Caenorhabditis elegans: one gene and its partner. The protein of the gene in region 1 purifies or fractionates together with the protein of each later gene. This does not show direct contact. Each region holds a gene or a part of one and is shown in the gene's direction. Other genes may lie near its edges.

Region 1 (7,592 bases):
ATTTCCAAGGCTGAATATTTGGGTTATCTGTTCTTTTCTCTCTCGCTCACCTTTCTTACCTGTGTCCAACATTTGCATTTTCTCTTGTGTGTTGAAATTCGGGAACACACAGTGATGACTGACGAGAACGGAAGGATGATGGGAGGAGGAGGAACTGCTGGAGAATTCGAAGAAGAAGGCGCGGCCAACCGAAATGAACAATTCGCACAATAATACCGATAGCTTCCAATTATGACATTTCCTTTCATTTGTTTCCATCCTTTTCCAATGCGCTTTACATATTCTCATTTACGCATGTTTTTCTGGTTGTTAACAAGATGTTTTCATTTTAGATTTGAGAAGCTTTACAGCAATTAAACTTCCCAACTAGCGTCGAAGTTATTTAAACATTTTCAGTTTTACACAGCCTTTCCGAATTGTTTTTTCTTATTCTTTTTTTTAAATTAAAACACAGTTCTGAATTGAAAAAGCTCGTTGTACATAGTTAAAGTCGATGCACCATGTTTCAAAAACTAGACTTGATTCAAGACTCCACCGGTTTTGCTAAGTTTGACAAAACACTTGCCAATATTTTAAAGAAAATCATAGCAAAGCTTGTCAAACATTTTCTGAAATTTCTTAATTTTCAGTCAAAAAATGGTAAACGCTCAGTTTTGATCTCTGATCGTCCTGGAAGCCATACAAAAAATTCTACGATTTCATATTTTTTAAATTGCGTTTCAACTGTTTTTTAAAAGTTATCTTAGGTGTTTGCTTCTGCTGCGATGTTCAATATTCGAAACTCAATAAATGCAAAATTGAAAAATTTAGCAATTTACCGAAATTTTGACTTTTGAAAATTATATGGGCTTTTGGTGCTTTCAAACATTGTCCAGTGTAAAATTGAATGGCTCATGCTTATCTTAAGTTAAAATAAGAATTGAAAGGAAAGTCGACGTTTCAATAGTTTTTTATACAAAAAATCCATAGGCTTGAATATTTGTTGAACTATTCTGAATGACCACTCCACCTGAACAAATCCGATTACCATATATCTCAATAGATTAAGTTTCTAACAATGTGTGACAAATCTCGATTCTCAGCTTCTTCTTCTTCGCCAACTTTCTCTACACTTCTTCTTTTTGCCGCTCCATCTCCCTGTCAATCCGTACCACATTAGCCTTGCTGCGTCTCTACGCTTCTCAATGATCCATTATTGAACCTTAAGCCTAATTTGAACGCGCGCCAAACCAATCCACTGGGTGCCGCGCCCCCTTACCGATTCTGGTTCTTCAAGCTTCCTTTTTTCCAAAACTACTTTTCTATTATGCTTCATCGTTACGCCCCATCTTTTATTTTGACCTCCACTAGTCATCGTCACATCGTTTATACTTTTTACAGATTTTATCCAGTATAAAAATTTAGATACCGTATTTCCTCTATTAGTGTTGCACCAGACTACTTCATTTAAAAGGTTATTTCATGGTTCATTTTAAATTGGCTCCATCAAATTGAATTAATTCTACTTGTAATTGAATACTTTTCTCATTTTCCAGTGTTCTTCAATAAAAAAATTTAATTTCTTTAATTTCTTTCAGCCTCAAAATCAGAATGCGTTGGGTGTTGCTAGTATGGCTTTTAGCAGCCATGGCGACGTCAGCTGTTCAATCAGCTGCATGCCCTCCGAACACATTTACGTGTGCCGATGGAAGTTGCATTCCATCAGATTGGAAAGGAGATGGTGAGAAAGATTGTGAAGATGGATCAGATGAAGAAGCGGTTACCGGTGAGACAACAACAAAGTTTGATGAAGTCGTCAGTGCACCGACAACACCTGGATCAGATGAAGATTGTGATTGGGGAATGCAACAGAGAATTGATAACTGCTCTGAGCCAATTGTACACTTTTTAAGTCAAATTGAAAGATTGAACTTGAAGAATATGTCATTCCTGACGTCATCGGAAATGTGAGATTTTTTTAAACCTGAAATTCTCTTAAATGTGCACTGTCATTCCACGGTTGATTTTGCGATGTGTCCATCAGGAACCTCGCAGCATTAGAGAAACTCGAAACAGCCAGGAATCGGGCGGGGCTTAATTTTGGAAATTTGGCAACGGAGAAGAAAATCTCCGAACAAAATTTGATTGCATAAAAAAACATGCACAAAATGTCCAGCGAAAAACTGCCTCTGAAATTTTTCTCTCTGTTCTCCGAATTGTTTTAAAGCTAAACTAATAGTAAGCCAATTTTTCAATTGGTAAAACAATTAAATTTTAATATTCGAAAACTCGGGCACCCTCAAAATTGAGTTAGGAGCTTTTTCTACAAATTGGCTGGTTTTAACTATTGTAGACAAGCTTCAGAAAGATCGGAAGTGAAAATCAAAGATAAGGCCGAGGGTTTGCTTTTTCTAGATCACGCTCTATGCTTGAACCTCTGAAAGTACCATATGGCTTTGTTGAGAAGCTGAAACTGTTCACTTTTCAAAACAATCCATCATTTCATAATTCTTCAAATCTATCAATTTCACTTTTTTCCAGTCAATCGCGATTCGAAGCCGGATGTAATCTAATGACAACCTACCAAGAATGTGTTGGAAATCAGAAGGGATGTATGCCAGATGAAGGTGTTCATTCATGGGGAGAAGTTGAAGTTTTTATGTGTCAATTGGTTCTTCCATCAGTTAAAGAACATGCTGGATGCTTCAAATCATCTGCTGATCCAAGATGTGATGCTAGGTGGTTCTGAATATTTGTATAGTTTTATATTTCTTTGTTTCAGCAAGACATCATCATCTTCCACTCTCTGCGGCCTTGTCACCTCAATTCAAACTGCCACATCTTGTTTAGAAACCATTCGCCCGGAAACTTGCTCCTCCGATGCTATTGAGATGCTCAGTCCAATCAGAGAAGAGACTGAACACATCGTGTCAGCCATTAGATGTGTGGTAAGAATGAACACTTAGTCTTTCAATTCAACATAATAAGCTTTTAGACACCTGAACAGCATGCATCAAGCACTACTCTAATTGTCGATGAGACAACTGAATCAACATCGGCATCCGCTGAAGATGATGATGATGATGTATTGACAACAAACACTTCTGAAGAATCAACAGCAACTACTGCTCATGATGAAGAGGTTGAGAATAAACCAGCTCTTAATATCAATATGGCTGATGCTGTCAATTCCCTATATTACATTTATGATATCTGCTCTGCCAATTATTCTGCTGATCCATTTGCAGCTATTGCTGATAAAATCTGTGCAAAGCAGGATGAAATTGCAAAATGGTCTAATTGTTATCAGAAGACATTGGAGAAGGAGAAATGTGCAATCAGAAATGCCACTTCTAAATGTGAGGCATTGATTTCTTATAATAACAATTTGGATTGTGCCATTGTTACCATGAATGATGAATGTGAAGTTGATGCTCAAAATCTTGTTGTAGAACTTCAAGAAGAAGTTAATGATCTCATCATTGCTGGAAAATGCTTTGAAGATAAGAAAGAAGAAGAAAAGGAACCAGTCAATGATGGTGACTTCCATCTCCAATCAACTCTTCCAAAATGTACTGAAGAGCAAGAAAACGGAGCACTTGGATGTCTTGTTGAACTTGTTGAGATTAACAAAAAGCTCACAGCATTTGCAAATCTTAACTTCCTTTTGGAAATCGCCAGTCCAAACTCGACGGTTGTCGAAGGAATTTGCTCATTATTTGCTCGTTACGAACAATGTCTATCTGCAACTGTATTCAAAAATTCTCAACGCTGCTCGTTTGCTTCTCCACTCAATTCACTCGCCAGAATCGGTCTCGCACCAATCTGTTCCCTGGATTCCCGACCATTGTTGTCAAAGCACAGAGATTGTTTCGAGAAGCTTGCCACAGAAGCTGATGAAGATACAAATTGCCAATCATCTCTTTCAACTCTCTCAAATACAGTTCAAATGATGCTTCAGGGAGTTCACGGAGAAGCTCTTCTATGTAAATCTTTCTACACAATCAGAGATACTTTCACTTGTGGAGAAAGAGCTGTTAAGAACAAATGTGAAGCTGATGCATTGACTGATTTGCTTAGTTTGAAGACCAAGGTTAGTTGTGAACTTTGATTCTTTTTGTTTTAGTTGTGATTTTCGGGAAAGATGACGCCAAACTAGTTTATGAGTCATCAACAGCTTTTCGCATTCAGCCAATGTGAGGGATGGGCAGGAGAACAGATTTAGAGAACGGGTTCATAGTTCAACAATAGTTTTTGACCGTTAACGATGGATTAGTGATATTGGGGATTTTGTCAAAATACACTGAAAACCCAAATAAAACGTTTTGTAATGTTTAATTTTCTTCAAAATGTGCAATCAAAGTTATGGCAAGTTACCGTTTTTTTTTAATTTTCGTAATGAAACACCTCAAAAGTTTTTAGATTTTCCACTCAAAATTTTGGTAAATTGCCAATTTTTTTTGAAAATTTTGGACTTTTTAAGTAATTGCTGCCGGTTTGAACTTCTAAGACGTTTCATTATAAAACATTAAAAAATTAAAAATGACCGTAAAAAATAAATAATTTTCCCAAATTTTTTAGCATTGCCCATATAAGAATTCTTTTAACAAGGATTATTTTCTCCACGTTTATTACCTTTTAGCTTGAGAACTGAAAAAAGTTAACATGTTTTTCTAGTGAGATTCTTAAATACCAGTTGCTACATATACTGAACATCTTAAAACCGATCCAATTTTTACAACATTCTAAATCTTATTCTGACTCTCAATTCAAGTAAAAACTTGAACCGGTTCATGTTGTACTAGTTGTTCCCATTGTTATAGTTGAAGTAATTATTCAATCAAAAAACAACCTATTTCGCTTATCAATCATTATGATGATTCTGGTTTGATTGTAGTTATGTTGTCATGAATAACAACATACATATATATGAGGGCAAAGATAACTTCAAAAAATTCACTATCTCTGAATAAAACTATATTGTAAAAAAATATAACTTTCAGATGACATCCCTCGGAGAAGAAGAAGGTTGTCCAAGAGATCCACCAGCAAATCTTGATGAAATTATTTCTCGTCCAGTTGCTCGTCCAACGCCAGTTACCATGCCACCAAGAGCACCAACTGCCAAGCCACTTCCAATCCCATCTGCACCAACTCCTCCAGTTGCTTCATCCAAGTGTTCTATTGAAGATCAAAAGAAGTTTGAGGAATGTGTGAAGCCTCTTACTTCATTCCAGCCACATCCACTTTCAGTCATCGCAATTCCAAGAGATATTGATCAGGCATGTGAGGCATTCCATACGTTTAAGGCATGTTCTGCAGAGAGTAACTGTCATCCATTATGGGCTCGTGGAATGAGTGCAATGTTTGAGTATGCTTGTAATGAAGCAAATGAGCAATTCAAAAAGGTTCGAAAGTGTATTCGTGAAACATCAATGATTGAAGAAGTTCGTTCATGTGTCTCTGACTTCTCCCGAGGAGCACCAACAGCCGCTTGCATGTCCTCCAACCGTCTTCATTCATGTGCAATCCCACAAATTCAAGGAAAATGCGGTCAAGATGCTGCTGATTGGGTATCAAATTACATTATCAGATTTGCTAATGCTATTGATGTCCGATGCAAGGTTGGAAGACAACTTCCAGTGGGAAGAGTTGTTGGAATTGGATGTTCCGCTGAAGAGGAATCAATTATTGAACACTGTGCAGCTCCACTCAATGATATTGGGTCTCGAGTGGAAGAGTTGTTCGCAGGAGGAATGCAGTCACTTATCAAGAATATCAATTCACTTGCTCCAGTGTTTGCAGGAGCTTGTAACTTGACTGATGAATTCAAAACCTGTGCTCATTTCCTTCTCGAAGGACGTACGTCATGTGTCGTCTCATCTTGCATGGTTGAGGCTGGAAGAGGAATCTGTCAATTGTCCGATCCAGCTAAAGCAATCGATGACAATCTCTCTTGCCTTTTCGGTCAAGCTCAAGAACCAAAGTTTGCTCAATGTATAAGATCAACCATCTCTACTTTGAAACAATTCAACTTGTCAACTTTGAGAGCAGTTCTTCCAAAATTCATTGATTGTACAAGAGACATTGTTGTGGCTAAATGTGGAGAGAGCCCAATTAAGATTATGAAAGCAATGAGCACTCCAGATATTTGCCCAATTCGTCCACATCAAGCTCCAATTGTTCCAATTAATCAACCAGCAAGAGTCACTCCAACTCTTGAAACTGTTCTTTCATCATCCACAATGGTTTCAACTTCTTCTGAATCTGACTCTGAATCTGCGCCGGAACAAGAAACAGAACCAACTGTTCCATCTACAACCGAAACAACCGAATCCCCATCAACTCCAACTGATGGATGTGGAGAATCTGGACTTGTTGAATATCTTCAATGTGAAACACATCTTGATCAATTCGCTTTCCGTCCAATTTCTATCATCGGAGATGCTTCTAAATGGGATCAATTCTGTCAAATGGCTAATCAAACATACATTCCATGTGTTGAAGGACTCAAGTGTAAATATGAGCCAGCTGCATCTGCTCAAATTGGTCTCATTGACTCGATTTGTAACAGAAAGATCACTCTCAAAGATCAGAAACAACACGGTATGTGCCTCTCGGAGTACACCAAATCCGATGCTGGAGTTGCTTGCATTTCTGATTTTGGAAAGATTGATCAATTGGATAGCAGTTCTCCAGCACAAATGTGTGATGGGTGAGTTCTAAAATAAATAGTTTTAAAATTATAAACATGTTTACAGAATCAACCAGGTAATGAGATGTTCAACTAGTGAAATCGAGAAGAGATGCGGATTTGACGCTGTTTTGCATGTCTTCAGTATTCATATGCACTGGGCTAATCTATTCAATGCTTCTTGTATATTGGAGTCTCCAGAGCCAACGAAGGATTCTACGGTCAGAATTTTATTAGCTTTTAAATTTGATAGCAAACATTTTACGACGTAAATTTCGCTACTCAACCTAGCTGTTTCATAAAAAAGATCAACTCTAATCTATATTTATTTCAGAGCATTGATGTCAATGAAGTAGAACCATCTCGGGATCAGAAGCCAGTAGTTGTAACAAAGGATGAGACAACACCAGTATCAATCACAACTGCTATGAATAATGATATCACAGAATCAGAAACGACACAAAGTCCTCCAGTTCAATCTTCTGTATCATTCCACATTATTCTGGCAGCACTTATTCCATTTTTTGCCCTTTTCTAGGTGCTTTCTTGCTCCATTCTCACCGTTGATTGTGATGTCATTGCACATCGATTTATTTCTCATACTGGTCAATTTTCATTGTTTTTTTTTAATATTCTTTGTTCAACTATTTTATCTTCATAATTTCCCCAAAATGCTCCACTTCTTCCCAAACCTTTTTACAGATCTTCTGCAGGGTTTCTTAACCTTTTTTCTTCTCTACTTTTAATCACATTTTCGCCAACTTCCACGTGTATACGGTGTGCTACATTATTTGATAGGCTTGAAGCCTGCATTTGTATACTTATGATGTAATAAATTATTGAAACTTTTAAAAAGTGTGAAATCTTAATGTTTATAATGTTTTTAAAATTGTTTTTTTAGCGCGCTTTTAAGCAAAAT
Region 2 (3,232 bases), on another chromosome or scaffold:
ATGGGAAGTTAGTGTCAATTTTTACAGTTGTGCCCACTTGAAATATAACATATTTTTTAGTATCTATCCTGTTTTTATATCGACAAAGAATTTAGGCTAGTTTTTGTAAAAACCCATATTGAAAATTTTAAACAAAACACCTACTCGTTGGGTTAGTTAGTTAGCCTTGATATATAGTTTAAGCTTGTCTTGAATTCTCCGAAAAATTACAAGCTGGCACTACTTTTGGCAATTTTTGGCAACCTTTCAGGTTTGTGTACAGATATTTCTGAAATATCTAGACACTTAACGAATGTTGTAATTGAACATTACACGTATTCGGATCTGCAAAAGACAACATTTTGATTGTTAAAAATTATGATTTCAGTTTCTAGCAAGTTGGAATAGAGATACTATTTACTAGAAATGTTTAAAATAGTAAGGAACTAGTACTGACTTCTTGATCTTCCGGAATCTGTAACTTTTTTCAACGCCCGATTTCTGCGAATGTGGAAATTTTTATCTGAAAATTTAGAAGCTCCAGTTGTTCGCTAAAGTTTATTATGGAGGTACAAAATTTCAAAAAAGGGTCCGATTGAGCTATTGTCTGAATTGCCTGGAATATTTCCAAGTTTTTCTTGTCATAAAAATTATGTTTTAGAAAAAATGCCAATTGAATAAAAAATGCAAAAATAAATATACTTCAATCTAAAGTTCGTCAACTATTTTATAGCGAGATCAATCTAGACCGAAATACGTACGAGCACCGCCTTATGCGAAACCGCAAAGTTTCAAAGGGGAGAAGAGCCGGAACTTGTAGAAAATCATTCCAATGGTTCTAAAATAAACAATTAATTTTCTATTTGCAGTGATAAAGTCTAGATTACTCAATGTCACCACTCATAAGTTTGGAAGCCTATTAAAAAAACTAGTTTTTCTACGAGTTGTACATATACTCTAATTTTTTTCGAATTACTTGGATTAGTAAACTGTAGGTGTTAAAGCATGTAAAATTGCTTTAAATTTTTCAGTGAGCACAAAGTGTTGGTTAATTGATTTATTAACCAAAACTGTGACTAAAAACTTTCCAAAACTTTAACTGGAAATTTTCAAGAATCTAAAACGTATGTATTTTATTATGCCATTTCGTTCTTCTGTATTTTTTGAGTTTTAAACATAATCCCTATTAAACTAGTTCCGGCAGCTCGAAACGTTTGTGTCTTCTGTAGAATCTTTAGAATCTCTAGAATCTTATCTCAAGCTTGCACTTGTTCCTTAAAATTTCTCACGTACCTAAGAAAGCAACTCTATCAATCCAATCCCCTCTCTCTCTCTCTCTTTAAAATGTTGCTAGTCACATCTCGCTTAGCGGCCAGTAAATCAATGAGCGCGATTTGTGATCGTCTCTTTTTTCGCTTTTTATTCTTCAAACGGAACGAAATCACCCATGTTCATCTTTCCCTCATTTCGACACCCATAGCTGCCAATTTTTGAGGTTTTAGCGTTTCAAACGCTACCAATCTTACAAAAAATCGCGATTTACACAACCTGAAAATGTTGAACCAGGAAGATTTTAAAATTGATTTTTTGAACGAAGGAACCGTTCAGTATGTTATCATTTTTTTAATCAATTTTAACAATATCAGAACGTTTTGCTGAGAGTGTCAGTGTCCTTCGAGAACTTTCACTTTTCAATAAATGAGAGGGAAAGTACAAAAAACAAACAGAGAGAGAGATAAAAACGAGAAAATCGGTTTAGGTTCATCGGGTCGTTTGGAAGGACAATAAGGAGATATCATTAACATCACTGATTTGAAATAGCTTAGATATTCTAATGATAATGTTATTAGACGGGATAAAATACCTTTAATTTAGATTTATTATTTAGTGAAATTTATATATTTTCAATTGGAAAATTGTATTTTCTGAAACTCTCATAATTTTCAGTTGTTGTAACGCAAAGATCTGAAATTTCAGATGCTTTCCTGAAAAAAAAAACGAATTTTTTCTATGAATTTCTAGATTCAAAAAATCCATTACTCAAAAAATCTCATATTCACTGTGGGCGTTCTAGTAGAAAAATGCACTGAATTTCACTTAGGTACAACAGTGACCGCTCGTGCATTAAAGTAACAAAGGATTTTTTTTGAAATGTTTTGTCTTAATTGAGCTTTCACCAAGTTACCTGTACTTATACGAGAAAATAGGCATTGTAGGCAAGAAGGCAGGCAGAAGGTAGGCACGCACGGTCGCTTTTTGGTTTTTTTATTTCTATAGATTTTCGATGAGTATAATTCAAAAACTAGAGGTTCTAGCAAGTAATTTTCAACAATCAAGATATTGGCCATATATGTAATTGTCTACATTTCAAAATAAAACATTTGATCATGTAGATTTTTTTTGTTCAAGAACGTCTTTGAAATCATCGGTTCACATTAAGTTACCAAAGATTTCGGCAAAGGACGACTTCAAGAAGATTTGCAGTGAGATGAAGCTTCAGGTATTTTTCAAGTTTCTTTTCAGCAAATTACAGTGAGTTTTTCAGATTCGTGGAATTCACGGAGAATATTCGGATTTGAAGGAAGGAATCTATGACATCTCGAACAAGCAACGCCTTGGACTTACTGAGTATCAAGCCGTTCGTCAGATGTACGATGGATTGAAAAAGTTGATTGAGTTGTGGAGAAAGCCGCCGAATAAGAACTAGTATCATTTTCAATGAAATAAATTTTTTAGTAGATGATTTTTTTTTCATCCCCGGTTGTTTGCAGTTTCAAAGAATTGGGTTTTTAGATCAGAAAAATTAGAAAGTATATCGACACATTCTAACAATTTTAACTTGATTTAACTTCCTTCTAATTTTCTTCGAACGTTTTTTCTTCTTTCAACAGGTTTCATGAAAATATTGCAAATACATTTTATTGATCACAATCCAAATAAATAGAAAAAGGAATAACAAATATTTTGTTAGTGGACATTTTTGTATAGAAAAAGTGAGATATAAGCTGACAAAATTGAACAATGGGGTACAATACAAAACGATGAAATACGATAGGTGGTTGTGAAGCCGACATTGAACATACACCCCGGATAATTTTGCACTTTCAGGATTACTGTAACTGGCAACTACATGATGGATCATTGATCAGATTGCTTGACCCGAAACCTATCAAAATGCATTTAATCTATTGAACCTGATGATTACTGTAATAATGTTGGACCTCACATTATTTCAGCTTCTCCATCAATCTTA

Evidence for each region. The genes of interacting proteins can lie anywhere in the genome.
Region 2: the proteins of F44E2.4 (region 1) and F11G11.13 fractionate together in Caenorhabditis elegans (co-fractionation; one large-scale study listed by BioGRID). This does not show direct contact.

The regions. Positions count from the first base shown.
Region 1 is NC_003281.10:8,832,410-8,840,001, reverse strand, and holds F44E2.4 (LDL receptor domain-containing protein), read left to right. Parts: upstream 1-1,577; 5' UTR 1,578-1,626; coding exon 1,627-1,946; intron 1,947-2,520; coding exon 2,521-2,718; intron 2,719-2,761; coding exon 2,762-2,927; intron 2,928-2,974; coding exon 2,975-4,072; intron 4,073-4,982; coding exon 4,983-6,694; intron 6,695-6,740; coding exon 6,741-6,894; intron 6,895-7,007; coding exon 7,008-7,211; 3' UTR 7,212-7,522; downstream 7,523-7,592.
Region 2 is NC_003280.10:4,874,734-4,877,965, reverse strand, and holds F11G11.13 (arginine kinase), read left to right. Parts: upstream 1-1,786; 5' UTR 1,787-2,467; coding exon 2,468-2,479; intron 2,480-2,524; coding exon 2,525-2,686; 3' UTR 2,687-2,722; downstream 2,723-3,232. Other genes in the region: F11G11.15 (Ovule protein), read right to left, coding at 2,864-3,121.